Alligator mississippiensis: one gene and its partners. The protein of the gene in region 1 purifies or fractionates together with the protein of each later gene. This does not show direct contact. Links are inferred from orthologs where the notes say so. Each region holds a gene or a part of one and is shown in the gene's direction. Other genes may lie near its edges. The genes, in order: C15H17orf49, BPTF, HMGXB4 and SMARCA1.

Region 1 (7,750 bases):
GCTACAACCTGCACCCCTCCATCATTTAATTCATTTCACTGCATTTAATTTAACCAACTGCATTTTACTTTATCTAGATTTAGATAAAATCCAGGCTTCCAGGGGGTTGAGGCGGTGGGGGGGGGAGTGAGGGGCAGGAGCAGGGCCAGGGGCACTTTATTATAATCCTGTAATAAAAGATACTCCTACACCTGTCTTTACATATGGGCAGCTTTATGAAGCCTTTTCGAAGGAGAGAGGTTTTGATCCTGTTAATGTATTCGGTCAAAGGATAACTAAAAATCCTGTGTTTAAAGAGATACTGTTGCAATAAAAATGCAATTGCAAATGGTTTGCGGGTTTCAGCTACTAAAAAATTCATTTAAAAAGTCAATTAAATTAAAATTAATTAAAATATGACCAACCAAAATCAAATCATCAATGATGATGAGGATAATGATTATCATGATAACGCTAATAACAATAATAATAATAAACAAATGAACTAATGAAAAAAATACAAGCAAAGCAAACATAATTTCCAGGTACCTTAAGTATAAAATAAAATGTTCTCCAGGCTTGTCTCATCAAAAAGCAAATGTTGTTGTTTCCACTTCAGTAATAAAACAAATGTTTTAATAATAAAAACAAAAGAAGTAAATGATGTTAACAGATAATAAATAAATACATGATATATAACAGTGGGTAAATACTAGTTGATAGAGAATGAATAAATGATAAAAACAGTAAATAAATGGTAAGTAAATAATAGTAACACATACAAATAAACTATAAAAACAATAAAAAATAAATGGTAAATACAACTAAATAATAATAAAAAATAAATAACCTTTGATAAAGAATAAATAATTATAAAAATGCACAGTAAATAAATAATTGATAGATAATGATTCAGGGATCCTGGATTTCTCTGTTTAAAAATGACAAATTCTCTGATTAAAACCCCCAACATCTGTGTTTTTCCCTGACTACAATGAAAGGCCACTATATGTCCAGGTATCAGTTGAACACAGCATTTTACTGATATATTTACAATTTTAAAGCAACCTGGAAGTTCGCTGGTGCCTCAGTCACTATAATGAAATAAATTCTAAATACCGATACATTTTTAATTTGATTGGGGAGGGGTTTATCATGGAAATACAAGCTCCCCCTGCGCTCCCCTAGACGCGGGTCCACCTACAGCCCCCCCGCGTGCTTTGTGGTGCTGAGCAGCCCGGCCCCTGCTGTTGCCTCTTAACCCCCCCCAGCCCGCAGCCCTGCCAGTTGCCCCCAACTGCCAGGGCTACCCGGGCCTGCAGCCCCCTGCCCCCCCGCATGGGCTCCGCAGGCAGCCACTGCAGACTCGGGCTCCCAGCCCTGCTGCCCTCCCTGGGGTTCCCGTTGCCCAGCAGGCAGGTCCCGGCATGGCAGTGCAGAGTGGGACCGGGCAGGGAAGCTCCTTGCCACTGTGAGCCCCATCCCACTCCCCGCCAGGCCTGTGGCCACACATAGCCCTGGACCCCACACAGCCCCTGGGATGAGCAGCAGCCCCAGCCCTACCTGACTCCCTCCCTATGGGGGACTCAATCTCTGCCCCCTCCCCCCCACCGAGTTACCTGAGGGAGCTGCTCTCCAGGCTGCCACATGCATGTGTGCGCACTCACACACACTGCACCCCTGCCTGAGCTCCCTCCTTCCGCTCCCCCTAGCCCCCCGCAGGCTGCCACTGCCAGCCCACATAGGGAAACCCATTTCCCGCATTTTCTCCTTTAAAGAAGAAAAATCCTTGCGTTTCTCCTTAAAATGAGAAAAATTGTGTTTTAGCATGAATGCAAAACCTGGATCGCTGCTGATAACCAATAATGAGCAGTTTGATTAACAGGATCTTCCTGCGACTTATTGCTTGGGCTCCCTCTTTATTTGCACAGCTACAAGAAGGCTTTGAAGATGCCCAGCTGCAGGGTACCAAAAAGGAACGGAGCAGCTACCACGCACAGTTCAGGATGCGAGATCTGCTCCTGCAATCGGTCAATCTCCTGGTGCACGGATCCACGCCTTGGAGAAGCTGACAAGACCAAGACCCTGGTGAGGTACTATCATTTTCACAGCTAAACAGACTGGACTTGGCTTTGCTTTAGGCTCATTTACCAGTGATGAGTTGCAGTAAATAAAGCCTTTGTCATTCATGCATTGAATTGCTGTGTCAGTCCTTTATGCGCTGGTCCCGAACCCCATTTCCTAACAAGCCTGGAGGTGGGAGAGCCAGGGCCAGAGGTACCCTGGAGGAGGGAGTGAGCTGACCCAGCAGACCAGGGGCTGAGACAGAGAAGCAGGGTGAGTCCCTGGCTGGAGGGGGGTGGGGGGTGTTTCTCCTCCAAGGGCCCCAATCTGGGCCTGATCCTGGGAGTCCTGGTTGCAGGTGGAAGGTTGTGGGGGGAGTCCTCTGAGTGTCAGGACTGACCCCCCCCAAAATCGCACAGGCCAGCAACTGCTGCTTCCCGGCCAAGCTGCATGTGATGCTGGGCAGCTTCTCCATGCCACCACGAGGCCCCTGCCAGGTCCGGGACCAGCCGCCACCACTTCTTTATGACCCCCCTGGACCATGATCCTTTGCTTCTACCCCCCCCAGCAGCTGGGGGGTGGGGCTCTGGGTAACGGGGACCCCTTGCTGGGAGCATCCCTAGCTCCTTGGACAGGCAGGAAGGGGATGAGGGGTTACCTGGTATTGGGGGCATCTAGCACGTTGCTACCCCACGTGGGGGTTCTGAGCCACAGGGAACCTGCTCCGGGCTGGTGCCCCCCCATGTGTCTGTCCCCCACCCTGAAGGTTTTGTCCTGTGCAATGAACGGGGTAGAGCTGGGAGGGCCTGGGGGTGGGGCAGAGTGGGTCTATAGGGGGGAGTGGGGGATGGCTCTATATGGGGGGGAGATTTCATAGACATTAGGGCTGGAAGGGACCTGGGAAGATCATCAAGTCCAGCCCTCCTGCCCCAGGGCAGGAAGTCAGCTGGGGTCATAGGATCCCAGCAAGCTAAACATTGAAATTTCTCTTGAAGGTGTTCAATGAAGTGCTTGAACCACCTCCGGCAGCAGGCTGTTCCAGACCTTAGGGGCTCAGACAATAAAGAAGTTCTTCCTTATGTCCAGCCTGAAACGGTCATGGAGGAGTTTGTGACCATTCGACCTTGTCATCCCTTGGGGCGCTCTGGTGAACAGACGTTCCCCCAGATCCTGGTGGTCACCCCTGATAAACTTATAAGTGGCCACCAGATCACCCCTGAGCCTGCACTTTTCCAAGCTGAAGAGCCGCATAGCTCTCAGCCTGTTGTCGTAAGGTCTGTTTTCCTGACCTCTGATCATACGTGTGGCTCTTCTCTGCACTCTCTCAAGCTTCTCCACATCCTTTTTGAATTGTGGAGCCCAAAACTGGACGCAGTACTTCAGCTGCGGCCTCACTAGGGCCGAGTACAAGGGGAGAATGACGTCCTGGGATTTGCTTGAGAAGCATCTATGGATGCAAGCCAGCGTTTTGCTCGCTTTACCAGCAGCATCACATTGAAGGCTCATGTTCACCTTGTGGTCAGTGATGACCTCAAGTCTCTTTCACCTGTACTGCTAGCCAGTGTAGCACTGCCGAGCCTATAAGGATGCTGCAGGTTTTTCTTCCCAAGGTGGAGAACCTTGCATTTTTCGGTGTTAAACACCATCAGGTTCTTGTCCGCCCATTTCCTGAGCCTGTCCAGGTCAGCCTGGATCGCCCTCCTGTCCTCCGGCGTGGATGCTTTGCCCCAGAGTTTGGTGTCATCGGCGAACTTGGCCAGTCCGCTTCTGACTCCAATGGCCACATAGTTAATGAAAATGTTGAACAATATGGGCCCAAGAGAGCCCTGAGGGACCCCACTGGTCACAGGGCACCACGATGATTGACTTCTGCCAACCACCACCCTCTGGGTCCGACCACGGAGCCAGTGGATCACGGTGAGGCCGGGGCCACAGTCAGCCAATTTTGCCAAGAGGTGATCACGAGATGCCAGACTGAAGGCTCAAGTCAAGATATACGACATCCATCTCCTCTCCCTTGTCCAGGTGACCGGTCACCTGGTCGTAGAAGGAAATGAAATTGGTCAGGCAAGACCTACCTGCAACAAGCCCGTGTGGCTACCCCTCAGGGTGTTGCCATCCGCCGGTCTGTTAAGAATGGCCTCTTTGATAATCTTCTCTAAGACCTTCCCTGGGATGGAGGTCAGGCTGACCGGCCTGTAGTTCCCTGGATCTACTCTCCTCCCCTTCACTGCATGGGCCACCTTCCAGTCTTCCGGCACTTCGCCTGATGGGAGGGGGTGGCTTGGTGGAGGGGAGTGGCCATGGATGGGGGTAGCGGGGTGGTCCCCAGGGCTTTCCCAGGTGCATTGTGGGTAGGGGGTGGGCTCTATTGGGGGGGCTGGCTGTATATTAGGGAGGGGCTGGGGGTTTCCTCTATGGGGGGGGGGGGGGGTCCCTCAAGGGCTTCCCCAGGTGCATGGTGGGTAGATGGGTGGGCTCCATGGGAGGGGGGGTTGGCTTTATGGGTGGGGAGCAGTGGCTCTATGGGCTCCCCAAGGGCTTTTCCAGGTGCATTGTGGGTAGATGGGGGGGCATTAGAGGGCGCCGGTCTACGGCTCCAGGCGGGAGGGGTAGGAAAGAGTTAAAGCCAGCGAGTGGGTGGTCCTCCACACCGCCTAGAGCGCCCGCCATTACCGCCGAGAACCTGGAGCTCCCAATCACCATAGAGACGTAGGCGACTCCGGCGGGAGCGTCTGCAGGGACCACCGAGACGCGCTGCTAGAGCGCTTCACCCACCCCCGCACCACCAAGGCGCTGGAGGATCCGGGCGGCTAGAGCGTCCGCCAACACCACCGAGGCACCAGGTGGTCCGGGGGGGAACGGAGCGGCCGCACCATCGAGACGCCGGCGGCCGACGGGGGCCAGAGCGCCCCACTTCCGGTCGTGCCAGGGCGGCGGCCGGGGCGGCGGCTGGGGGCTATGACTTCCGCCAGCACCAAGGTGGGGTCATGGGGGGCGGGGCCAGGATGGGGTGTGGGGCCTGCAGTGGGGGAGGGGCAGCGAGTTGGGTGGGGGAGGGGCCTGGGGTCCAGGGAACCCCTAAAAGGGGTGGAGGGGGTCATAGGGGAGGGACCACTGGGGCCCCCCATGGAGGGGGAGGGGCTTTGGGGGCAGCTCGGGGGGGGCTCTACAGGGGGGCGGGGCCCAGGGTGGAGGGACCCCCCCGCCAGGGTTGAGAAGCCCGCCCCATTTGTGGGGGGGGAATTAAGAGTACCTACTACGTTGTAGGGGGGCTCAGGGGTGGGATAGGGTTGCCCCCAGGGACTGGAGCTGGGGGAGCAGCAGGGTCAGAGGTCATGGCAGGTGAGGTCAAGGGGTCAGAGCACTGCCCTCAGCCCCCCACGCCCCCCCACAGGTCGGGGAGATCTTCTCAGCCGCCGGTGCTGCCTTCACCAAGCTGGGGGAGCTCACCATGCAGCTGCACCCTGTGGCCGATTCTTCCCCCGCGGGGTAAGCCCCGCCCCCTGCCTCCCACACCCCACCACCTTCCCCCTACACCTGCCCCCCAAACACCCCCAGTTGCCCCCTAAGCCCTGCTGCAGGGGGGTTGGGTCTCGGGGGCTGCCAAGAGGGGGTTTCGGATCGGGGGGGCCACTGGGGAGCGTTTATGGGCTGGGGGCTCCGGGCTGGGGGCCCCCTGACACCCCGCGCCCCCCAGGGCCAAGTGGACAGAGAGCGAGATCGAGATGCTGCGGGCGGCCGTGACGCGCTTCGGCGACGACCTCAACCGGCTCAGCGCCGTCATCAAGGAGCGCACGGTGTAAGGGCGGGGGCGGGGGCTGGAGGGGAGCCCCACACCCCTCAACCCCCGCCCCAGCTCACCGTGGCCCCACCCTCTCGCCCCCCCAGGGCCCAAATCAAGGCTACAGCCAAGCGCAAAGCCTACGAGGACAGCGGGGTGCCGCTGCCAGCTGACTCCCCCAAAAAGGGGCCCAAGAAGGGGGGGCACAGTGGGGTGCCCCCTGCCCCTGACGCCCCCCCTGCCAAGAAGCAGAAGGCCTCAGGTGAGCTGTGAAGCCCCCCCAATCCTGGGGTCCCCCCAGGCAGGGGATTGTGACCCCCCCATTCAATCCTGGGGCTCCCCTGGGCTGTGGGAGGGGCTTGAGACCCCCCCCCATTCAACCTTGAGGTGTCCCTGAGCAGCTGGATGGAGGCTGAGACCCCCCGTTCAGTCTTGGGGTCACCCCAGGCTGCAGCAGGGGTTGAGATGCCCCATTGAATTTTGGGATCCCCCCCAGCTGAGTGAGAGGTACTGAGACCTCCTTCCCATCCTGGGGTCCCCCTGGGTTGCAAGATGGGGTTTGAAACCCCCCCCCCATTCGGTATTGGGCTCCCCCGGGCCGGAACAGGGGGCTGTGTGCAGGGGAGGAAGTGGCAGGGGTTTTCGGGGGCCCCCCACCCATGCTGCTCCCCTAGACGTGACGCTGAGCGCCCTGAACGATGCGGATGCCAGCAGCGACCTGGTTGACATCGAGGGACTCGATGCACCGCCCCCTAAAAAGCTCAACTTCGACCAGGGTAAGGAGGAGCCGGGGGGGCCGCTGGTGGGGTGCGGGGAGGCCTCAGGATCAGCCTGGATCCCCAGCAGATGGTGGGGGGGCTCCAGTAGAGGAGAGCTGGGGGGGCTGTACATGATGGGGGGCCTGGCTGCTTGGGGGTGGTCCTTTGCTCCCTGCATCCCCAGGCCCCGCCCCCTTTCACCAGGCCCCGCCCCCAGTCCTTGAGATTAACCCCCCCCTACTCTTCAGCTCCTCCCCTCTTCCTCCAGGCTCCACCCACCCCCAGGCCATATAGGTCCCAGCCTCTGCCCCAGTCCAGGCTCTGCCCCAGTCTGCATAGGCCCCACCTCTACCTTCTCAGCCCCACCCCCCTTTCCTTGAGACTTTCCCTTGGCTTTGGAGACTCCACCCTCTTGCCCTGACCCTATTTCTCCAGGCTCCACAACTTTGCTCTATGAGCCCCAGCCCCTTCAGCAGGCCCCACCCCCTTTTCAGCCTCCCTGTCCTTTCCTTCTCTAGGCCCCACCCACTCCAGTCCTGGCCCCACCCCAGTGTCTTAGTCCCAACCTCCCAGGTTTAGGCCCCACCCCCTCCTGCTTTAGGCTCTGCCTCTCCTCCCCCCCCTTTCAGCCTCTCTCTGCTCTCTCTCCTCTCCCAGACAGCCTGACCTTGGACCCTGGGCTGCTCATGACCACTGGTGACCTGCCCCTGCTGTCGCGCTGACCCTGGCCAGCCAGACCACCGGACACCACCCTGAGCTTGAGGGGGCAGGACACTGGGGGTGTCCATCCCACCCCCCAGCCCCATCACTTGTTTTGAGGGTAGGGGGCTTGGGGCGGAGTGTGACAGTGAATAAAGGGCCTTCCCCTCTACCGCCTCCTGTGTGCCTCAGTTTCCCTTCTGGGAGCTGGTGGGGAGGGACCCGGCAATGCAAGCCCAGGGGTGGCTGGGGGGGGGGGGGGTGGCAATGGGGTGGGTCAGGGAAGGGGCAAGGGCCGGCATCAGGAATAGTTGACAAGGTTTCCACATAGCAATTAAGAGTCACATGGTCTCTGGGTGGCATTTGCATAACTAATGAGTGCATTTGCAAAGCTAATGAGGGCTGAGCACAATGGCGTAGGCAGCCTGCGTCATCTGCCATTGGTGGGTTTGCCCATAGGTAATGA
Region 2 (7,294 bases), on another chromosome or scaffold:
TTGAATGGTAATTCTATTAAGAATTGGTCCCAAGAGAAAAGTGTAAATTTGTATAGTTTTATTTGTAGATATGTTTATTCCTATTTAAACTGTTCTTATATTGGACCTTTTTTAACAGCAAATTTTAAGTTGTCTGTCCTTGTTAGGGGCTTAAAGTATCCCTTGACTATGTCCATGCTCTGCTGAAATGTCTGATCTCTTTCACTTTTTTTTAATGCACTGTGAGCAGTGTTCCATTGTTAGAGCGGCTTAAAGCAATAAATCTTATGAAGCAGTACGTATTACACTTGTTTTCTTTATCTTAATGTTGTCCAAAATATTAGCCAAGATGTTAGTATTTATATCGATAATAAAATCTCAGTTAAAGTTCCATGGGTCTCACACTTTGTCTACTGCATCCAAAGTAAAAGCATACTTGAGTATGCTTGTTTAAATATGTGCAACAGAAACGATATTTAAATGACATTTGCATACATAAGTTAAAAGCCAACATATGCATGAAAGTTATGATATAATTTGGAAAGAAGCTTTGGCAGGACAACAAGGAAATGCGTAATTTAAGTATACTAGGAACTCCCTTCTCCAGTGGGCGTACAGCTTAGTCCAAGACTTGTTTTCCCACTACATTTTAAACCAGGGCCCCTAAAAATGTAGAAAATTAATATTTATTTGCCCCGGGTGCCTGTCATGCGGTCCTCGATGGCTTGCCAAAACTCAGTAAGCAGCTCTCCGCCCGAAATAATTGCCCGACCCCGGTTTAAACAAATTGCCAGGTAAGATTATCACCCCAGGAGGAGAAAATTCAGAAGAATCTGATGTTGGCTGAATAATAGGTCTTGATGTTAACAATTGTTAAAGTGAAGGGGGAAGTTAGGAGCAGCTAAGTGTTGATAATAGCTGGAATTGTTTGTAGACACTTGCATAACATTTTTGAGCTTTTCTTCATAACCATAAGAGAATTTTCTGATGCCATAGATTATGATGTAATCCATGCAATTCCAGCAGCAAGGGTTCCCAATATAGCCCTCGGGTGGTTGCTTTAATATAGCCCCAGTATAAGCCTATCCTATTCACTACTCTCTCTCCCTTTCTGCTTTTATCAAACCAGAAAGGAAAAATGAACATCCAGCCCAACAAACTTGTTTTGCATTAAATAATTTTCATGCTTGGTACAACAGAATTCTTTTACTAAGCAAAACAAATGTTCTTCAGCAAATCTCTGTGCTGAGAGGAAGGCCATATAACTTTGAATATGTTCTGTTTGCTAGGTGAGAATACCGCTCATCCTGGTATCTATATTTTCTTTGATAATTAGTTATTTCTAGCAAGATGCTCCAAAGTGAGGAAGTTAGGTGTAATGTGCCATAATCTCTCTGCAGTTCTAGCACGAGCAACAGAACAGAAAATAGTTTGTATCAAAGGTTCAGGCACACTTGCTTTTCTGACTTCAGTTCACCCAGTTTTTATGCCCCCTCATTTTGCTTTGCATTTCAGGTTTGACCTGGGAACAAATTTAAGACAAATCAGCTGGTTTTAGCCTCAAAACCGTAAAGGGCCCTGTTTATACTAAATGTTTGCAAGCCTAATACTGACTTTGGAGGCTATTGTTAAACACAAAGTGGATAAGTTTTGGTTCCAGGGTCTTTAATAAATAACCACTGTATTATTTTATCAAACACTAATTCTATTTGAGCAAAAGTCTAGGGTTTTTTTCCTACCTCTTAAGAAAGAACATGGAGAAAGATCAGTGGCATATGCAAGATTGAAACTCATGTCTTGGCTCCTAGTTGTATGCACACACCTCTGAAGTAGACTACATGCTTTTCTCATAGTTGAGTGCACATGCAGGCGCACACAGGACAAAAGCAGATGAGTTTGGAAGGAGTTCTAGAAGATACAGATTGCAAATGGGATGTAACATTTTGCTTGCTGCTATGGCGGTAGCTGAGTTGTACTGTGCTTAACATGGCTCTGCATGCACCCCTGGGTGCCTGCAAAGAGTACAAATTAATCTAAAAGATGAAAGAAGAAAAAAAATGGATATGGGAGTCTTTCATTTCTACACAGGACAACTTTTACAATCTTTTCTCCAATGCCGATGAAGGGTGTTTGTGCCTGAAAGCCTGCAAGTAAATAATTTTTTTGCAAAAATCTTATTGGTTTAATAAAAGATCATCTCTACTACCAGTCCTCATTGGATACAGGAGTGCGACTTGAGTGCCCTCATTGAAGAGCTGCTGCATGCTTGGTGCTGTGCAGATTTCTCTCCCTAACTACTCTCGGATTTAGCAACATTAAAAAGGCACATTTTAAAAAGAGATTAAAAGACGAGCAAAAATAAGAATGGGAGGCTAGCTAAGCACTGCTGATATATCTGTAACAACTGTGGAGCAAGGATAGATGCCCAGGCTGTGCAGTAACTGCATGGAGGTGTTCAGCCTGTCCAGAAGGAGAGTGGCCTAGCTTTGATGCTACAACTGGATGTTGGACTTTAATAAATTGTTCAGCCCCCCCCAGAAGGAGAGTGACCTAGGTCTGCTTGATGCTACATCTGGCTGTTGCACTTTAATGAAGTGTTGTTCACTCTGTCCAGAAGGAGAGAGTGGCCTAGGTCTGCTTGATGCTGCAGCTGGATGTTGCACTTTAATGAATTGCTGTTCAACCTGTTCAAAAGAGGAGAGTGACCTAGGTCTGATGCTGCAGCTGGACACTGCACTGTAATGGGGAGGTGTTCAGCCTGTCACAAGGAGAGTGACCGAGGTCCGATGCTACAGCTGGATGTTGGACTTTAATAAATTGTTCAGCTTGTCCAAAAGTAGAGAGTGACCTAGGTCTGATACTACAGCTGGATGTTGCACTTTAATAAAGTGTTTAGCCTGTCCAAAAGGAGTGGCCTAGGTCCGTCTGATGCTGCAGCTGGATCTTCCACTTAAAAGTGCTGTTCAACCTGTCCAAAAGGAGAGTGACCTGGGTCTGATGCAACAGCTGGATGTTGCATTTTAATAAAGTGCTGCTCAGCCTGTCCAAAAGGAGAGTGATCTAGGTCTGACACTGCCACTGGATGTTGCACTTAAAATGCTGTTCAACCTGTCCAAAAGGAGAGTGGCCTAGGTCTGATGCTGCAGCTGGATGTTGGAGTTTAATAAATTGAGTGACCTGGGTCTGATGCTACAGCTGGATGTTGCATTTTAATAAAGCGGTGCTCAGCCTGTCCAGAGGGAAAGTGGCCTAGGTCTGTCTGATGCTACAGCTGGATGTTGCATTTTAATAAAGCAGTGCTCAGCCTATCCAGAGGGAAAGTGGCCTAGGTCTGTCTGATGCTACAGCTGGATGTTGCATTTTAATAAAGCGGTGCTCAGCCTGTCCAGAGGGAAAGTGGCCTAGGTCTGTCTGATGCTACAGCTGGATGTTGCACTTTAATGAATTGCTGTTCAACCTGTTCAAAAGAGGAGAGTGACCTAGGTCTGATGCTGCAGCTGGACACTGCACTGTAATGGGGAGGTGTTCAGCCTGTCCAGGAGAGTGGCCCAGTCTGATGCTGCAGCTGGATGTTGGAGTTTAATAAATGGAGTGACCTGGGTCTGATGCAACAGCTGGATGTTGCATTTTAATAAAGTGCTGCTCAGCCTGTCCAAAGGGAGCGTGGCCTAGGTCTGTGTGATGCTACAGCTGGATAAAGTGCTGTTCAACCTTTCCAAAAGGAGCGTGGCCTAGGTCTGATGCTGCAGCTGGATGTTGCATTTTAATAAAGTGGTGCTCGCCCGTCCAGAAGGAGCGTGGCCTAGGTCTGTGTGACGCTACAGCTGGATGTTGCACTTGAAGGAAGTGCTGTTCAACCTGTTCAAAAGGGGAGAGCGGCCTAGGTCTGCTGCTGTAGCTGGACAGTGCCCTGCAATGGGGAGGTGTGCAGCGTGCCCAGAAGGGGAGAGTGGCCCGGTCTGATGCTGCAGCTGGATGTTGCACTTTAATAAAGTGTCCAGAAGGAGAGAGTGGCCCAGGTCTGCCGGATGCTGCAGCTGGATGTCGCCCTTCAATGACCCGGCGCCGCTCGCAGCAGCAGCAGAGACCCCCTCGCCCCCCCGCGCGCGCGGGGCAGCCGCCCCTTCCCCGCTGCCCCAGGGCCCAGGTGAGCGCGGGGGGCGGCGCTGTGTCCGGGCCCGCGCGGCGGCGGCGCCCCCTGGCGGCGCGGGGCGGGGCGGGCGGGCGGCGGCGGTCACGTGGGGCGCTCGGGGCCTGCTGCCGCCCAGTCAGAGCGGAGCGAGCCGAGGCAGAGACGAAGGAACAAGATGGCGGCCGGCGGCGATCCGGAGCGGGGCGCCGGCGATTCGGATTGAGCCCGTGCGGCCCGCGCCGCCCGGCGGCCGCCGCTCTCCCCGGCCCGCAGCCCTCGCGGGGGTGGGGGCCACTGCCCCGCGCCCGCCCGCCGGGGCGCCCGCCGCCCCGCCCCGCCCTTGCCTCGCCTTCCCTTCCCCCCTCGGCCAGCGCCCAGCGATGCGGGGCCGGCGCGGCAGGCCGCCCAAGCAGCAGCAGGCTCAGGCGAGCTCCCCGGCTCCGGCCGGCCCCATCGGCGGGCTGCGCTCGCGGCAGCGCGGCAGCAGCCGGGGCCGGTGGGCGGCCGCGGCCCAGGCGGAGGCGGCGGCGGCGGCGCCCAGGCCGAGGGGGGCGGCCCAGGCCTCTCCGTGCCCCCGCGGGGGCAGCAAGAGGAAGGCGGGCGGCGGCGCAGGCGGCGGCGGCCCCCCGAGCCGGGGCAGGGGCAGGGCGGCGGCGCAGGCGGCGGCGGGAGGAGGAGGAGGAGGCGGCGGCGGAGGAGGCCGGGCTGCCTCGTCCCGCAGGAGCGCCAGCAAAGTGGTGTACGATGACCACGAGAGCGAGGAGGAGGAGGAGGAGAGCGCGGGGTCCGAGGAGGACGAGGAGGAGGGCGACCCCGAGGAGCACCCGGGGTCCGAGGACGACGGCGACGAGGAGGAGATCATGGAGGAGGACGAGGACGAGGACGACGACGACTCCGACTACCCTGAGGAGATGGAGGACGAGGACGATGCCAGCTACTGCACCGAGAGCAGCTTCAGGAGCCACAGCACCTACAGCAGCACCCCAGGTAGCGGGGACGGGGACGAGGGAGGGTCCCGCTCCTCGCCGCCCGCCGGGGGGGGGGAGACATGCAAATCGCGGGGGCTGGAGGCAGGGCACAGGTGCGGGCGGAGCATCCTCTCCCGGCTCCGGCCCCTTCGCTCCCCTCCATCCCCTGCCCAAGTATTGTCCAAGATGGAGGTTGCCTCGCCGCACTTTGGGGAGGGGGCCCCTGCGCGAAACTCGCCCCCTAACTTCCCCAGGTGAGGCCGCCGCAAAGCCGGGACCAGGCTTGTAAAAGCGCGGCGTGTTTGTGGGAGCCTCTTCCACTACTTGGACATGACAATGCTTTCATTAAAAAAATTAGGGTTTTTTTTTTTTTATAACCCTCAGAGCTTTTTTTGGGTGCTTGGAGTTGCTACTGCTTTCATTTAAAACATGAGGGTTTTGTTTTGTTTTTTTACCCCTGCTGCGGACCTCGATAAGACCCTCGCGTGCTTGAAACTTGAACTCTCGCTCGATTGGGTTTTGTCAGTTGAGGGGGTTTCGGTTCGCAGCTCTAGCTCGCAGCACTTGGGTTCAGCGCCGATCCAGCTGTGCGTTTTAGTGAGCCGGTTGGGACACGGGCAGCAGAAACGGGTACGGTAGCATTCGACCAATTTGCCAGCGAGGTGTAGTGGGGAGATTGGCCGCTTCTGTGAATGTATGACACCGTATACGCTTTGTGGAGCGTTTGGGGAAGGAGGCACAGGTTACTAAAACGCACTGTTTGTTTTAATTCCTGGTGGGTTTAGTGGGTGCAGGCAACAGATGCCATCACGTGGCTTCACTAAACTTATAAAAAAAAAAAACACCACCAATCAATTTTTATTTTTAATTCTGTGTAGTTTTGTACGAATTATGGTTTTGCTTTTTGGTGTGTTTTTTTTTTATTGTGAATTGGGTAAAAAATGTGATCACAAAGGGTTTATAGTCTGTTGCAGGAAGCATTGTAGTTCACCTGTTGCAGGAATAGTACTGTGATCAGTTTGATTTCCTTCCCGTAGTTCTTGCTTTAAAGAGGAACTGGCGTCAAGTTAGATGCCACTACCGCTGTAAGCTGCTCTTTTCTTTAGTTATGGTAGGTAATAGGGAGAAACCAATCTCTTCTCTTTGGTCTAGGGAAGTATTTTTGCCCTGACTTCACTGGCTAGGGTTAGGGGAAAAAACCGCATGGACCTAAGAAAATATGAAGTTTAGGGATTGGGATGGGGAGAAGTGCTTGAGTTAGGTGGGTTAGGTGTTTTGACAAAGGACAAGTATTTATTCAAGTTACGTTGGTGGCATTTAAGTGCCTATGTTAAATTAGTATGTTTGATAAAAACTCCTATAAATATGTTTTTATTTAATCATGTTAAAATTTCAGTTACCATGTTAACCTTTAGTAATCTGAAATTTTTACAGCCTGAGCAGCCCTTTATAACAGAGTGGCCAAGCAGTGGCAAGAACTTCTGTCTGTCTTGTAACTTGTCTGCTATTAGTTCAGCTGCATGCTGGAAGGCTTTTTGTTAAGTTACTTTAACAGTTGTTTCTTTCTTTTTTCTTTAAAAAAAAAAAAATTAAAAAAAAAATCGTTACCTTCAGAAAAGAGGCAAGTGAAGAAAATGTCTTTTGCAAATGACACTACAAATTTTCAGCTTGGTTAGCTACAAGTGTGTCCAGTTCCTGCTAAACAGATACCTACCTGTGTCACAAGCAGTACTGCTTCGAGATGGCAGATTGGTTTTATCCAAATCCTGAAAATAATTTTGGTGTGGCATGTGAGCCATCTCCACCTTGTAGGTTGGGTTTCCTATTTGCAGTTGAAGCACTTTGCCAGAATAGTGGTGAGAAAAATGAGTGTTGCTAACCTGTGCCTTGCAGACCAAGTGTGTAGAACAAACCCTTCTCACTAGCCAAATCTGGATACTTAAAATCACATCCCACTTATGTGGCTGTTAGAACACTTGCTACGCAAATTATTGTCTCTGTAGGAAATTAAAAAAACCCCCAATAACTCAGAAATATCAATTTAGTTTTGATGTAAAGCTTGACAATTAGTAGATTCATTTACTGTAGGAACAACTGCTATGGTGTTATTTGCTCCTAAGCAACTATCCATCTTCTGCTGAGGGGCCTGCATATGAATCGGATGATAGAGGGTCTTCCTGTAGTTCAGCATATCTGCTCCAGTTCTTACACGTTC
Region 3 (7,583 bases), on another chromosome or scaffold:
TCCCACCAGCACAGACCTGAGCCAGGGTCCACCTTGAGCTCCCCGCTTGCTGCTGCAGCTGTGGGGGCAGGAGCACAGCCAGAGACCAGCCAGCATGGCCCCCTGAGGCAGAGGAAACAGGAAGGGGTTTATTCCCCACTCTGTCCCCAGGGGGCTGCAGCTGGGGTCTGCCTGCCCTGACTGCTGCTGCTGCAGCTGATCACTCAGTACGTGGGGCGAGCAGCAGGATAAGCTCCCTCCTGCCCCCTTTACCAGAAGGAGGGGGGAAATAACCCCTCTCCCTCCCCCTCACCTAAGGGAGCCATTCTGGCTGGCCTCTAGCCGCACCCCTACCCATGCAGCTAGAGCAGTGAGGGGGGAGCAACTGTGACAGGGGCAGCAGCCCCTCTCATGGGGCCCCGGGAGCAGAAGCCTCTTCCTGCCGGGGAGGCTGCATTGCAGGCAGGACTGGGGCGGTTAGAGCTGTCACAGACTGTGTGAGTGGAAGCTTCAGCTCTGCAGTTTCTGTCAAGCGTGTGCAGCTCTGGTTCCAGCTCCTGCTGCTTTCCACCCACCCACCCCCCGCAGGGCTGCTCATTGCACCAGGCTTCTGCCCAGTGCACAGAGCTCTGGCTCAGAAAGCAGAAAGCGCAACCCAGCCCACAGCTCCAGAGCATGCTGGGATGCTGGGGGGCTCTGGTTTAACTTAAACCAGGAACAAGTCTAGGAAAGAAGTTGCATAAACTGGTTTGACCCAAATCAGTTAAGTCTGATACTACATTCAACCAGGTTTATCGTAAATCAGTTTTGGCCATTTTGAAACTGGCTTATGTGCACTGAACTTATGTTCTATTACAGGTTTAAACAGGTTTCTGATCACTTAAGCCGTTTTATGTGTAACTTCTGTCCCTAGCCCTGGGGTTTAGGAACTCTCAGTTCTATGTTCTGTTGTAAACTATTTGTGTGACCTTGGGCAGGGGCCTCAATGCCAGATTTTTAAAAGTATTCACAATCATAAAGATGTACATGAGCACTTAGTGGGACTTTTCAATAGGAGACAGTCACCTAACCTCAGCTTACGTGCTCATAGATTCATAGATGTTAAGGTTAGAAGGGACCCCAATAGGTCATCGAGTCTGACCCCCTGCCCTGGGCAGGAAAGAGTGCTGGGGTCAGACGACCCCAGCTAGGTGCTTGTCCAGTCTCATATTGAAGACCCCCAAGAGAGCACCACCTCCTTTGGAAGCCCATTCCAGACCAGAAGTGCTTCTGGTCCACTTCCAGATCTGCTGCCAAGAATGCTGGGGAGAGCCCCCCCCATGCTTCTGTGAGACACTCCATGCACCCCAGCATTGCAGGACTCACGAGCCCCTGCTACCTAGAGGTACGTAGAAAAAACATTTAAAGCTGTCTCTATGTCCAAATCACCAAATCTTTTTGAATCGATTCAGAGGGTTCCGATTTGATTGAGAGAGATTAAAGGGTCCTCTGATTCGATTCGGATTCAGAGATTCAGCCACTGAATAGGGCCAAATCTCCGCCAAATCGAATCAGGGACTAAAGCTTCACACAGCCCTACTGCCCAGATCTGTATGCTAATAAAATCCCTGGATAGTCCAAAAGAAGGAAATGCTAGGTTGTTTGAATACAGGATGTAAATTCCTGTGTTCCATGCTAGCTAGCTATCTTCACAGATTGACTCTGAAAAGAGAGATTGACTGAATTTTTTTTTTAGAATAAAGGAATCAAAACTCTTGGAAGAGGTGATATCTTTTATTAGACCAACTAGATATTTGCAAACAAATCATTGTATGTATCTGCAAGCTTTCAGATGAATTTTTAGAATAATTTTTTTTTAGAATAACTTTGTTTAGAATAGTTATCTACTGATGAAAAGTGCCATATAAAAGCTAGGTATTATATTAATATTTTGCAGGGTTAGGAAGAGGTTTGGATGGATATCATCAGGGGAAGTCTGAATGATGTATAGCCTTTTAATGCTTCAATGGCTTTATGTGCAAATTTCATGCTATAGTAACTTGAACAGTAATAAATAAAATGGTTCGCTTCAAGGGAGCTGCTCCTTTCTGTATTTTTGACTGAATAAAAAACATGCACTCCCCTGCACGCCATCACAGACACAGTCTGATACCTCTGAACCGTTAGCTGATGAAATCATTAAACTTCAGGAGACCTAGAATCCTTTTTATACCAGGGAGCAGAATAGGAAACATGCTATCAAGCTACTAGATCTCTTTATAACTTCCTTGCTATCTCTAAACCCTATTCCAAATCAGCCTTCTCATTTTAAAAGCACACTGTTGCCCTCCCTGGTGATGTCACACCTGCCTCCTCCCTATTCATACTCATGCAGTCTCGACCAAGCCTGTCCAATCTGATGTCTGTGAGATGACAGTAAATATTTGTAAAACAAGTCGTATTGCCATGAGGGCTGCAATATCGGTCAGGAGTAATACTTGGTGAAACCATAAAAGCTTTGTGACAAGGCCATCTTTTCATTGTGTGGATATGGTGCCTAGCAGTGGCGTACCAATGTGGGGGGAAATGCCCCTGGGAGATGGCCTGTCAGGGGGGAAGGGGGGTGCAGGCCGGGCCCTTCACAGGGTACTTGGTCCCCTGGTGGCACTTCTGGTGAAACCAGAACTGCTGCTGGTGTTTCCAGGCTTGGAAATCACCCGCCAGGGGACCCCTCCCTCCCCCTGATTGGCAATCAGCTGCAAACAGGGTGGGCACAAATGCAGGCATTGGCCCTCGGACACTGGAGACCCACGGTATGTCACTGGTGCCTAGCAGAATGGGGCACAGACCTGTGACTCCGAGGTCCTCCTACAATACAAACAATAATCTGGCAAAGGCAAGACTGGACTAGCAACATCATGTACTGCTGAATGCCTAGCAAGTTCTAGGTGTGAAATTCAGGCACAGGAGCAGTACTGATGAAATCTTTGCTCCGGTAAGGAATGAATATGGACAACAAGGAAAAAGGCATCTCCCCTCTTTTGGCAGGGACTAGAGGAACAACAGCATTGTAGGGAGAGATCCGTATTGATGGTGGGGGCCAACCTAAGGCATGTAGATTTGTGAGAACGCGTGGAATTAATACCGTTTCAGGCCTTGATCCCACAAATGTTTCATTGGCACTGTTCTGGTAAGTAAACCATGTGCACACTTAGGGGTTGTTATGACAAGCACTGGCACTTGCTGTGTGTTTACACACTGTAGACACTGACAGTGAGGGCTCCGGTCTCCACCAATGCTTGGAAGCCATGGTTCTCAACCTTTTCAGACTCAAGGCACCCCTTGAAAAATGCCGGTTCTTAGCTTTCACTCTTGATTTGACTCTGGAAAGACAACTGAGCAATTCTTCTACTACAAAGTTCTCAGAAAGATCAAGCAGATCCAAACATTTTCAACACCGTGGATTCCTATTTGAAACCTCTGGTCTGAGCTAGCAAATCCCAGGCCCGCACCTAACAGTGCTAACAGTGTGTGGCCCCTGGGGCACCCCAAAAGGATCTCTAGGCACCCCAGGGTGTTGTGGCCCCCCGGTTGAGAATTGCTGCTTGAGGGCCCTATTACGCTGCAGCTGATGATCATTTGGAGTGATCTCTTATTGCACACACTTCATATAGTAATCATAGTAATATTTTATAACAGAATGTATTATATGTAATAATATATAACACAATAATGCAATATATAACACAATATATAATACATGATCTAACATAATAATGCACTATATAACACAATATATAACACGATGCAAGATATAACACAATATATCATATAATATATAATGTAAGGTAATATAATGGTGCAATATATAATATTATATATATGATGCAATATAATATGCAATGAAATATAATGGAATATATGAAATATCTTAACATCATTTAATATAGTATAGTATATTACATTACATTATATTGTACTGTAGTATATATTAACATATTAATTTATTGATATGTCAATATATATCACTTGCATGATCAGTATAGCATTTATCATCATGCCCAATCTATTAATATCATTAATAACATTAGTGTGTTAATCCTGTATAGATATATAAATAGATAGATAGTGCTTCATTTTAATCATGGAAAAATGTCGATTTGGGGTTCCTTTTTTTAAACTGAAAACTCGGGATTTTTTCAAATCAAAGAAAACCAGGATCCTGGAGTATCACCATACCCTGTCGCGGCGCTCTTACCCGGCACTACCCGCGTGCCCGCTTGAGGTGGCGGGGGGCGCGGGCCCTTTAAGCGCGGGGGGCTTCTGGGACTTGTAGTCCAGGCCCCGCTCATGTGACCAAGCGCGGCCGGGCTCGCCCGTCACGTGACGCCCGCTGAACCCTGGGGCAGGATGCGAGGCGAGGTAGGCGGCGGGGGGGAGGGGCCTCAGCTTGTGTTCCCCGCCCTGGGGCGAGGCGAGGCGAGGCGGTGCAGCCGGGGAGGGCAGTCCTTAGGGTTCACCCCGATGTGCGCAGCAGCGGCCGAAGAGCCTCGGCTATCGATGCGCTCGGCGCTCCGCTGCTTCTGCTTGGCCGGCGGAGCCGCGCGGCGTCTCTCCCCGCCCCCCTCCCCCCCTGCAAGATGGCGGCCGCGGGCTGTGGCGGTGGCGGTGGCGAGGCGGGAAGCGGCGGAGCGGAGTGAAGGGAAGCGGCCGCTCGGCCCCCTCCCCACCCCCTCACCCCGGGCCAGGCGGCGGGAGGACCCCAGGGCTGGCTGGAGGCGCGGGGCCGCGGGCCGGAGCGAGGCTGGAGCCCGCCAGGGTGAGAGGCCGCGCGGGGCCGCTTCAAACTGTCGAGACAGGAAAGCAAAGGGAGTGAGACGGGGATGGGCCAGGGCCAGGGCCAGGGCGGGGGGGGTCCGTGGGACACTGGCCTACTGGGTGCACACAGTTAATGTGGGCTTGAGGCCCACAGAGCAGTAGTTACCCCCTCCGCCTCCCCCCCCACACTGTTATTAGGGAGGCTGCTGGGGGGGTGTCGGCTGAACTCTATTAACGAAGGAGAAAACAGGCATGGGAAGCTCAGAGTGTCAAAATAAGTGCACCAAAGGGTGACACCCACTGGCCCTTAAACAAGTGCAGGGAGCCATTGGATACTGCCCAGTGAAACTCTGCCCAGAGACATGAATGGATGGGGGACAGGAAAGCAGCCACGCAGTCCCCAAGGGTTCAGTGGGGCACAGGCCTTTTGATGCGGGACAAAGCCCCCCTTGCTGATGGGGCATGGCACTGATTGCTTGGGACACAAAAAAATATAAAACGGGAATGGGAGTGAAAGCCATAGGTTTGAAACGAGGGCACCAAGGGGGGACATGGAGCAGAGTACACAGTACTATGCCCACCGGCCCCCAGATGGGTCTAGGGAGCCAGTGGGCACTGCCTGGTGAAACCCTGCCTGGGGACATGAGCAGGCCAGGGACAGGAAAACAGCCCTGTTGTCCCCAGGAGTCTGGGACACAGGAAACTGGGCACGGTGGACCTCTGGTCTGACCTAGCTATTGGCAACTCCTATGTTCGTATCTGGCCCTTAAGATTGTAAGCCTACTGTGGGGGAGGGGGCAGGAAGCTGTCATTGTCCTTGTTTCTTATATAGACTGTGGTATTACGTGAATTCTACCTAGGACTTGCCGTATGTGCCATTGGGGTTTCACATGTTTTCATGATGGTGTGACTTAATTTCTGTGCCCAATACTTCTTCCGAGTAGTTGGAGAACAAATCTCTTCACTTTGTGGACTGTAACAAAAACTTCCTACTTACTTGTATGTGTTTGAGGAGGGAAGGGTTTAGAACAGTCATCACCAACCAGTGGATCAAGATCCACCAGTAGATCTCGGAGCCTCTTGGAGTTGATCTGAAGCTGGGGTGGGGGGCTGAGTGCCTGTGTGCGTGCACACACGCGCCCCAGCCCAGCAGCTTAGTCCATGGGGGAGGGAAGGGACAGGGGCTAGATGGAGGCCTGTGTGGTGAGGGACAGTGCGGCAGAGGCAGGAGCAGGGGCAAATTGAGTGGGGCCCCGGCTGGGTGGGACTTACCTGCTGGGGAAGTGTGCCCCCAAATATTTTTTTCTTCCTCTGCCCCATCTGCCCCCCCCCCCCCCCTTCTCTCCCCGGACTTACCTGCTGGGCAGGGAGGGGTGGCAGCAGTGCATGATAGATCTTGGGTTGCTTTTAAATGCCAAAGGTGATCTCCTACTTAAAAAGGTTGGAGACCACTGGTTTAGAACCTGCTAAAGGCTGAACAGATATTTAATGTTTTAATATCAGCCAGTAGTTTATACAGCTTGGAAGTGTGTCCATGTATTTTAATTTATAAATATAGTTATAGAGAGAAATTTCACACAGCATGAAAAGGCAAGTTCTCTCCCCCAAAGAGTTTAAAATGTAACCCTAGTGTGGCATGATGGTTATCTCAGCTAATCAGAATATTGACTGCTCGGTTTCTTATTCATAGTTGAACATTAAAAAAAACACAATAAAATGTTGGCTAGAACAGCTTGGTTTTTTAAATGTTCTATTTCTACCAATAAGTTTGTCTCTGACTGAAGAATACAAGCTGTTTTCTCTTAGAGAATTGTAATACAGCTATTGCATAATGGTAAAATAAACAACCATCTCTTACCTGTACCAGCAACCATATATCAGCATGGCTCAACCTGGAATTCCCTCAGCAGGCAGGGGCTGGGAGTGCTGCAGAGGCCTTAGGAAAAGGGAGTGCTTTCTTCCTTTCTTTCCCCTCTCCCAGGTTGGCACTCAGAAGGGCTCCAGTGATATGGTTTGGGTTAGGGAATGCAGGTCTTTCTGAAGGGTGTACATCTTCACCCAAAAAACCTCTAGTCAATGTAACAGAACTGAAATCTGCTCATTGCATACAATCTAGCCCCCAGTTGGGTTCTTCTCTGTCTACCCAAATACAGGAGTTTAGAATTTCTCTTAAAGCAACCCACTCTTACAATAACTGCTGACAGTTAACAGTTTTGTCATCATCTCTGTTTTCAGTTTGTGTGTCATTATGAAAACCAGTGCAAGCCTTCTGACTATACCTTTTTCATTTTGTTAAAATACATGTTTTCATCAGCTTGATATTTTGAAGTGGAAGGGGGTTCTTTTTAACTCTATTATTAACACCCCCCAAATAATATAAGTTATCTAGAGCAAAGCATACCAAGCTTTAAGCATGATTATGAGCTCACAAGGAAGCACACTTTCCCCTTCCCAACTTTCTTCTAGTGAATTGCCGTGCAGTTCCATACGAGCGGTTTCCTCTTTGCCATTATGATTCTACTTAAGATTCTACATTATTTTCATTCTCTGTTTCTTAGACCTTTTTCTTTAGATGGGAACAGGGGAAGGAGCCCAGATGTGGGAACACATTCTCAGGCTCCTGCAAGACCACCAGGGCTTATGATGGCTCCAAGAAGAAAGAAGGTATGACTGCTTCATAATCTGAGAGAGTTGCCACAGCCTTTGCCGGCCTATGTAGTCAGAGTGGGAAAAGAAGCCAGTCTGCTAAACCCTAAGGCATCAGGCTGGGTTTCCACAGCGTTCCAAGCCTGTTCTGGCCTCAGGAA
Region 4 (7,918 bases), on another chromosome or scaffold:
GGCTCTGTTTAAGTGTGGTTTCAGGGCTGAAAAAAACTATGTACTTACCTGAATTAAACATAAACAATGCTCATGGCTGTGCCGTGCTATCTTCCATTTCGGGGCCTCTTAGCTCTCATCATTTTCAAGGTTTCTAATAGCAAGTTTCAGGGAGACAGCTAGACAATTTCATGGCTGCTCCTGTCATTTCCAAGGTTTCTAGTGGCAGCCTCTGACAGCTGCTTCCCCATCAGCGTTTCTGGTACTGTGACACAGAGTACAATTAGTTCCAACGTAGACAGTTGCAGTTCATATGCAGTTAACTGGAATATAGTTATGCAGCAGATAGTGGGACTGGAAAATGCTAGGCTGTAAACAACAAATTGGATCTGGCATTGTTTTATGCACTTAAACAAATATTGCACTCCTCTAGTTCATTGCAATATACTGCAAATAGTTACACTCGTATCCCTTGTAAATTTGTCTTCATTTCCTCCCCTCTGGAGTCAGTGGTTGGTTGATGGTACCACCATTATTTATTTCTTTTTGTCTGCTTTTAGATGACTGGCTGGCTGAAATGAGCTAGGGTTATTGTTAAACTGGAGATTTAGAAAGAAGCTGGTGGGCGTAATAGTTTCCTTCTTTTCAGGCGAAATGAAGAACAACTACATGTTCAGCAATAGCTGAAACAAGAGGAACCACTACCCAAAACATGCAGGACATGTTCCTAAGCAGCTTCTTTCTGTGTGGTTGGAAGAACATTGCTGTGGGTTCAGTATAAATACCGGGGCAGTGAACTGACTTGCGAATGCCAGGTGTGTGCCTATATGTGTGCAGTCAGAGAAGGGGCAGAAACACTGCAGGAGCCACTCCAGCAGACTGGAAAGGAAACCCTGGAGAAGCCTTGCTAAGTGTGACCTCTGAGAAATCCTAGAGAAAACGTACTGGACAGAATAGTGACTGAAAGAGGCTTGGAATATGAGCAAGGAAACTATCTTTTATGTTCAGGGAAACAAGACTTCATAAATGCCTTCTTAACAGAATTGCTTCAGAGAGACCTTTTCACATCACTAATTTGTCCTAACCAAAACAATCTCCAATAATCTGAGAATGCTTTAATCACCATAGTTTAAAGAAGCATATTCACAGAAACAGTAGGATACTAGGGAAGAGATTCAAGCAAGTAGTACCTGGATGCCCCTTGTCCATATCAAATCTGTAGTGATCTCATAGCTTCACAAGAAACAGCAAACTATTTCCATAGCAGTACATCTTCCACGGAGTATTTCATAGGCTTCCTGGGGTTATACTGATTTTCACTTTTTTCCTGCAATTCTATTTGAGGTACTTCATTTTTGATCTAGTGAGCTGTTCATGGTTCAGAACCTGCATGCTTTTTCATGTCCTGTCATAGCTTGACTTCATAGCTACAGCACTTGAAGTCCTTAGCTTAGTTCAAATAGGTGTTGGGTCCAGATCAGTCAATGGAAGAGCTCCTGAATCTGGAATTTGCTTACCCCTTATTTACTGACCTTCAGGACACAATGCAAAGCATCTCTTTTCAAAGGAAATATGTGAGAGATCTTACAGGGACAGAGGGATTGATGGGTTAACAGATATTCACAGTGTTTAAGCAGTATGATGCACACAACAGTTTATGTGCACACAAGAACCTCTGTTCTATCCTTCAGTCCTGTCCCCTGCTGCCCTGTGCTTTAAAATCTAAAGTTATGTTAGACACAACAATAGAAAAGACTGAGAAGAGCCCAAGAATTCCAGGCAGGCCTCTGCTCCCACTTCTGATGCCTATGTCTGGCAGCAGATGAAAACTGAACTTCCCTTTACCCTGACTATATTAAGTCTGTTCTAATAAATACAAAGTGGATAATCCGTTATTTAAAGATTGACTCTTACTTCCCAATTTGCTGTGCAAACTCTGGGTGGCTTTCCTGTATAATCCACTGTGCTATATGCTGGCATAAATTAGTTTGCCCCTTCTTTTTGGGACTAAGAACTCTCAGGAACCAGGAAATTATTTGAAAACAACTTGTAATCACTTTTTAGCGTAACATGACTCATTCATCTGGTTATTTAAATATGCTGTTCTTTATATTCAGAATATTTCAATTATTATATGGTTGCACTTAGAATGTTTGCATTATATAGATAAGCAATAAGAAATAAGCAATCTTTTCAACAAGTGTACTAAATTAAAACAGAGCTGAAATATTCAATACCTGTACAAAAACAGCTGTAAGGTGGTCTACAAACCTAAACTAGAAGCCTTTTCCCCATCTTGTTGAAACCAAGTTGTACAACAAGCAGCTTTGATACTTTACTAGGAATCCTGTATAAAAGACCTAGGAGGAAGATCATAGCCTGACAATGCTATCTAGTGGCAAATAGCAGAAATGCTGCTCCTTGGCAGTCTTTATCAGCAATGTCTGCTAGTAAACAGCCTATTTTTGGTACAAGTTGACCCAGACCAGTGCTTGTATTTCTAGGTGCCTGTTTAGAAAGGTGTTGAATGCCCCTACCCCTACTTGTATACTTAGAAGAAAGATGCAGAACTCAGCACTACCTCAGATCTGATGTCTTAGAGCAGTGGTTTTCAACCTTTTTTTGTACCAGGACCAATTTTTAAACATTAATGGCCGGTCCTGACCCAGTGCCCCACACCCCCGAACTGCTGCCCCCGCCCCCAGGCCCCAGCTCCGCAATGTGTTGGGTAGGGGTGTGTGTGTGTGGCAGGGGGGATCCCCAAGCAGCCCCTTGGAGGCTGGAACTCTGTTACTGTACAAGGGAAAAGCCACAGTTTCCCACATTTTTCTCCTTTAAAGGAGAATCCATTTTTAAAGTTTGCTTGTGACCCTTTCATATATTCTTGTGACCCACTTTTGGGTCATGACCCATGGGTTGAAAAAGATGTCTTATAGTATATGTAGTGGAATTAGGTGCCTAACCTGGGTGCCTACATTTTGGAAAAAGATGGCTGCAACTGACTAGCCATTGTCATTTTCCTGGCTTTTAATAGTTCATTTAATGCCAGTTGGTAGAAGCCTTGAAAACGAAGGGACAGCACAGTCTTGGCATTTCAAGACTTTTAACAGCAGCCTGACAATTGTTTCCCACTTTCCCCTTTTTAGGTGCCAATTAGTATGCTGTTAAATGGAGTACAGTTACATTACCAAATAGATTGCTTATGCCACAGCACATTGGGAGTGGCATGGTGCTCTGCAGTTAATCAGATTATACATGTATTGGATATATGCGTACAAGTGAAGCACATTGTACACGCTATATACTACCAGAGGTAATATGAATAAAGACATATGCAATGCCATACATCAGTGTTCAGATTCATCCAGAGGTTCATATAGGGGACTGGGTTTTTTACCACTGCATTGCTGCTGTACAGAGACATCCCTAGTGATATGCGGGGCCTGGGCATATCAGCCTGTGCGGGGCCCGGGTAGTGGGGCAAGTGGCTGGAGCCGGCAGTGCTTGGCGGCAGCAGCGGCAGAGTCGGCAGCGCTCAAGAGTGGCGCTGCATGCCGGCTGCAGTGGGACCTCTATGCCACTGACCATGGGGCCCCCCAAAGTGCGGGGCCCAGGGTGGTTGCCCCAATTTGTCTCCACCCTAGGGACGTCTCTGTTTCTGTACCTCGACGGTGGAAGGTTTTCTCAAGCTTCATATCTAACTGCTTCTGGCAGTAGAGGTCTTGGGCAGGTCATTCCTATAAAGAAGGTTTAAGGTAAGGTGAGCTCATTCAGCTGCACCTAGATGTCAGTTTTTGAGGGAGAAGCTTGAAGGAGAACCAGTTTGTGACGGACTAAGGAAGATGGAAGGTAGTAGAGGGTAGCTGGGAAGATCAGTCCTCTGAAGGCTCAATCACATGCCTGGGATTTGCTAGGCTCAATGACCGTGCAGGCAGTGGGTATGCTAGATCGCCCTAAGGGAAGTCGTAAGGCTGAGCTCAGATTGAGCCCTGGACTGTCTGCCGTGGACCCTGCCTTTCCTAAGGTACTCAGGGGCATCTTATACGGAGGATCCAGCTTGAGCCTTTGGGATGGGAATGGGAATCCTTGTTGCCAGCTGTGAGGAAATGCGCACTATGACCTGGACACCTGTGTAGCTACTACCCGGCTCTTTCTGGCATAGCCAGCCCTCGGTCTGGGACTGCTGGAGACCTCCTGGGATAAACCTCGCCCTTTGAGGGAGGTGGATGTGCTGGCATGAGGGCAGGTGTGCACCTTTTATACAGGGGGTTGCCAATGTTTTTGGCCAAAGTGCTGAAAAAACTGCACCGTCTACCTCGCCAGAAAAACAAAACTGGGGCGGTGCATACATGGCAGGACGTGCTGCATATTAACATAATCATCATACATGGTTTTTTTTTTTATAGTAAATACCAGGGATTAAAAAAAATTCTAAACCTGGTGACAATAAATAAAACTTCATATATTGCCTTTGTATAAAACTTCATATTCTGCCTTCATCTATCTATCTATCTATCTATCTATCTATCTATCTATCTAAATAGATATATTGATATATTGATATATTAATGGGTTAACATATACATATATGAGGGCAGCTCATACAGATATGGATATCCATACATCTATAGATACAGGTCTATCTATAGACTGATCTTTATACACAACCGCAGCTCCGCTTCGCCCCCAGGTCGCAGCTCCTCCCCCACCCGCCTTTGCCCCGCCCCTCCCGGCTCCCAGCAACAGCTGGCAAACATCGGACTGACTTCAGCAGTCGCACTGCGCATGCTCCGCCTCCCCGCGCATGCTCTCGGCGAGCGGACGGACTTTTTCTGGCGCTCGTTCCCCCCGTCGCGCGTCGAAATCTCGCGATGGATGCGAGGAGCGGGAGACGGAGGGGGCGAGGGCGGGGCCGTGCGGTGTTTTGGGGGGTGGGGGGGAGGGGAAGGCGGCAGCTCAGCGCTGCGCCATGGACAGCGGCCCCGACAGCCCCGGCCGCTCGGATGACGAGGTGCCCTCCACCTCCGCCGCCGCCGCCTCCGCGCAGGAGCCCGGCGTCGAGGAGGTGCGCGGGGACCGTTCGTGGGGGCGGGTGGCGCGGGCGGGGCTACGTCACCCTCGGAGCGCGCGAGGCACCAACGGCCGCTCCCCCCCCTTCCCCCGGTGTCACCGCTGCGCGCCAAGGGCGGGGGGCGCTCCTGGAGCTGCGCGCGCAGCGCCCGGGGGCGGGCAGGCGGGCGCCCTTGACCTCTTGTGCAGGGGCCTTCCCGCGCGGGGTGTCCTGGGCCGCCCTCGGCTGGTGTCAGAGCAGCCGAGGGGGAGGCTGAGCCCCAGGGTCCCAGCCTAGCTGGGTGTCCTTGAACTTCAGCCTTTTCCTGCCAGGCGGAGCTGGAAGATGCTGAATTACCCACCCCCAGTGCCACACGCTTGGTGTGTCCAGCAAGGCCCCAGGCGGCAGGAGCACTCTCTTCCTGGCCCTCTGGGTCGTGATGCCCGGGGGCTTGGGCCTGGCTGTGCGAGCCCCGTGCCGAAAAGCACCCGGGCTGTCCTTGGCACGCGCCAATTAAAAGCTCGGAGGAGGTCCCGACTCACTGAAGCAGCGGCGGTTTTGCTCCCAGCCGTTGCCTGGGATGGAGATGCCCAACCCGCTGGTGTAAATGTGGAGCAGGCCTCTGCTGTCTAGCCCCGCGCCAGCACAAGTGGCTCGCTGCAGGGTAACGTTACCCCGCGGAGCTGAGGTTACACCTGCCAAGTGTATTTTTGGGTTTAGCGCTACTCCCTCTCCTCCCGGGGTAGCCCCAGGCTCCGCTGCTACCTGGCAGCAATGAGCTTGAATAGTCCCTACTCCAGGCACCTCCTTCTGCAGGGCTAATTTCTCTCTGCACCAGACCCTAGTATAACCATCTGTCGGTGTACAGACAGACCTGGGAAACGGGTGTAAATGCAGGTGGTATATTGACAGCCTTTGTTGTTGATGTGACTCTTTCACTGTAGGACCTACCAATTGCAGTTTCCCACTAGAACGACATCCTTCCCTCGGCCTGAGGCTAACAAGTTTGCCATCTCTGGTTTAGTAAAGATAGACAGGGAAAGTGTTGTTGATCTCTGTAATCTCTTAAGCCAGTGGGAAACAACCTTTTTGACAGACCTGCCACACATCAGTTCCACAACCACCCTGAGAGCCGCTCCGCTCCCACTCCCATTCCCCTCCCTGATCTGCTGCTCTGCTTTCTGCACCTGCCCTGTCTACTGCTGTGCTATCCCCTCCCCAGCATGGTGCGGGCCTAACGCGGAGGCTGCCTGAGCCACTTGTGCTGCAGGTTGGCTGCTCTTGCCTTAAGCTATATCATTTAAGTTATGAAACATTTGGACAAACCTATATATCATGAAATGCTTAGACTACCTGAGGACTCCCAGTATATTCTCAAGAGGCATAGCTGACAAAACGAAATGCCCCTAATGTAGAGTCAGCTGATTAAGTTCTGTGAACAAAATAATCTATGTCAGCAAAAACATCTCTGTTAGGGGTTTTTTCATGTATAGATGTGTCTAAAACCAAAATTGCATCACTTAACTGCCTTGTTATACTGACAAGTATTTCTAGCGAAGATCTGATCTAAGCAAAAAAGTATATTCTACGTAGTTGAATAAAAGTTCACGTGTAACTGACTGGTGTACAAGGAAGTATCTGTATCCCTATAATCTAGATCTGCAAATAAAATAAAAATTCATATATCTTGTAATATTACCCAGACGTAAGGATAAGTGTGAGCACACTTTAGCTGTCCACCTGCCTTTTGACTGCTGCTTTCCCTTCCTTGTTTCTGGTACAGTTGAAGGGAATACAGATGGCTATAAAGGAGACCGTTACAGCTACTATGAAATTAGCCAGAGTACAATCACAGTCAAAAGTTTAGGTAAAACATGCTATACATTTAAGCAGATCATGCACTGAACTCATATGCAGATAACCAGCAATATTTAACAAGCAATAGGCAGTGAATTGGGACTGACCTTGTGCTATTCAACTAAACAAATTTATATGCATACATAGTAAGGGGAGTATTCCCTATACCCGTGTCGGGCAGTTATTTTGGGTGGAGGGCTGCTTACTGAGTTTTGACAAGTCATTGAGGGCCGCATGACAGGCAGCCAGGGGTAGATAAATATTAATTTTCTAAATTTTTTAGGGGCCCCACGGACTGGATAGAATAGCCTGGTGGGCTGCATCTGGCCCACGGGCTGTATTTTGCCCACCCCTGCCCTATTCCATGTCTGCTATAAATGGAACTTTCAGCTCTTGTTTTGTGATTTTTTTCCTTCATGAGGCAAAGGAGCTGTTCATTAGGGGTGTGCGAAATTGGCTGTATTTGATTCAGATTAGGCCCAAATCGGGGACAGTGATTCGATTAATTGATTTGGATCACTGTCCGGATTCGATTTTGCCGAATCAGAATCTGAAGATTCGATGCTGATTCGAAGAATCGGCAATTCAGCCACAGACACAGCTTTAAATGTTTTTTTACATACCTCGAGGTACCAGGTGCGGCTTGTGAATGCTGCAGTGGTGGAGTGGATGGAGTGTCCCACAGGAGTGCAGGGGGGCCCCCCACGTGCTTGGCAGTGAATCTGGAAGTGGACCGGAAGTACTTCTAGGTCCGCTGGGGAGTGCGCTGGGGGTCCCCTGTACACCCCCCAGCTCAGTGATCAGCTGTGGGGGGGGACCTTGGGTGCCCCCCCAGACCCAGGAGGCACCAGGCGCTGAGCTGGGGGGGCGTGTGGGGGCCCGCCAGTGTGCTCCCTGGCAGACCCGAAAGTGTACTGGAAGTGCTTCTTGTTCACTTCTGGGTCTGCTGCCAATCATGCCGGGGAGCCCCCCACACTCCATGTGCCCCAGCATCTCAGCATTCACGAGCTTCCTGATACCTTGAATTATGTA

Evidence for each region.
Region 2: the proteins of C15H17orf49 (region 1) and BPTF purify together in Homo sapiens (affinity purification with mass spectrometry; 5 studies listed by BioGRID and IntAct, with this or other methods). This does not show direct contact. The link is inferred for Alligator mississippiensis from reciprocal best matches to the Homo sapiens genes BACC1 and BPTF.
Region 3: the proteins of C15H17orf49 (region 1) and HMGXB4 purify together in Homo sapiens (affinity purification with mass spectrometry; 4 studies listed by BioGRID and IntAct, with this or other methods). This does not show direct contact. The link is inferred for Alligator mississippiensis from reciprocal best matches to the Homo sapiens genes BACC1 and HMGXB4.
Region 4: the proteins of C15H17orf49 (region 1) and SMARCA1 purify together in Homo sapiens (affinity purification with mass spectrometry; 4 studies listed by BioGRID and IntAct, with this or other methods). This does not show direct contact. The link is inferred for Alligator mississippiensis from reciprocal best matches to the Homo sapiens genes BACC1 and SMARCA1.

Annotation. Positions count from the first base shown.
Region 1 is NC_081838.1:23,752,746-23,760,495, forward strand, and holds C15H17orf49 (chromatin complexes subunit BAP18), read left to right. Parts: upstream 1-4,741; 5' UTR 4,742-5,004; coding exon 5,005-5,025; intron 5,026-5,440; coding exon 5,441-5,535; intron 5,536-5,743; coding exon 5,744-5,845; intron 5,846-5,934; coding exon 5,935-6,089; intron 6,090-6,501; coding exon 6,502-6,603; intron 6,604-7,242; coding exon 7,243-7,307; 3' UTR 7,308-7,456; downstream 7,457-7,750. UniProt on the Homo sapiens protein: Component of chromatin complexes such as the MLL1/MLL and NURF complexes.
Region 2 is NC_081831.1:6,195,262-6,202,555, forward strand, and holds the start of BPTF (nucleosome-remodeling factor subunit BPTF), read left to right. Parts: upstream 1-4,278; 5' UTR 4,279-4,491; coding exon 4,492-5,098; intron 5,099-7,294. UniProt on the Homo sapiens protein: Regulatory subunit of the ATP-dependent NURF-1 and NURF-5 ISWI chromatin remodeling complexes, which form ordered nucleosome arrays on chromatin and facilitate access to DNA during DNA-templated processes such as DNA replication, transcription, and repair.
Region 3 is NC_081827.1:101,691,206-101,698,788, reverse strand, and holds the start of HMGXB4 (HMG domain-containing protein 4), read left to right. Parts: upstream 1-4,577; 5' UTR 4,578-4,777; intron 4,778-7,538; exon of another isoform or gene 7,539-7,583. UniProt on the Homo sapiens protein: Negatively regulates Wnt/beta-catenin signaling during development.
Region 4 is NC_081831.1:68,936,976-68,944,893, forward strand, and holds the start of SMARCA1 (probable global transcription activator SNF2L1), read left to right. Parts: upstream 1-4,906; 5' UTR 4,907-4,948; coding exon 4,949-5,044; intron 5,045-7,918.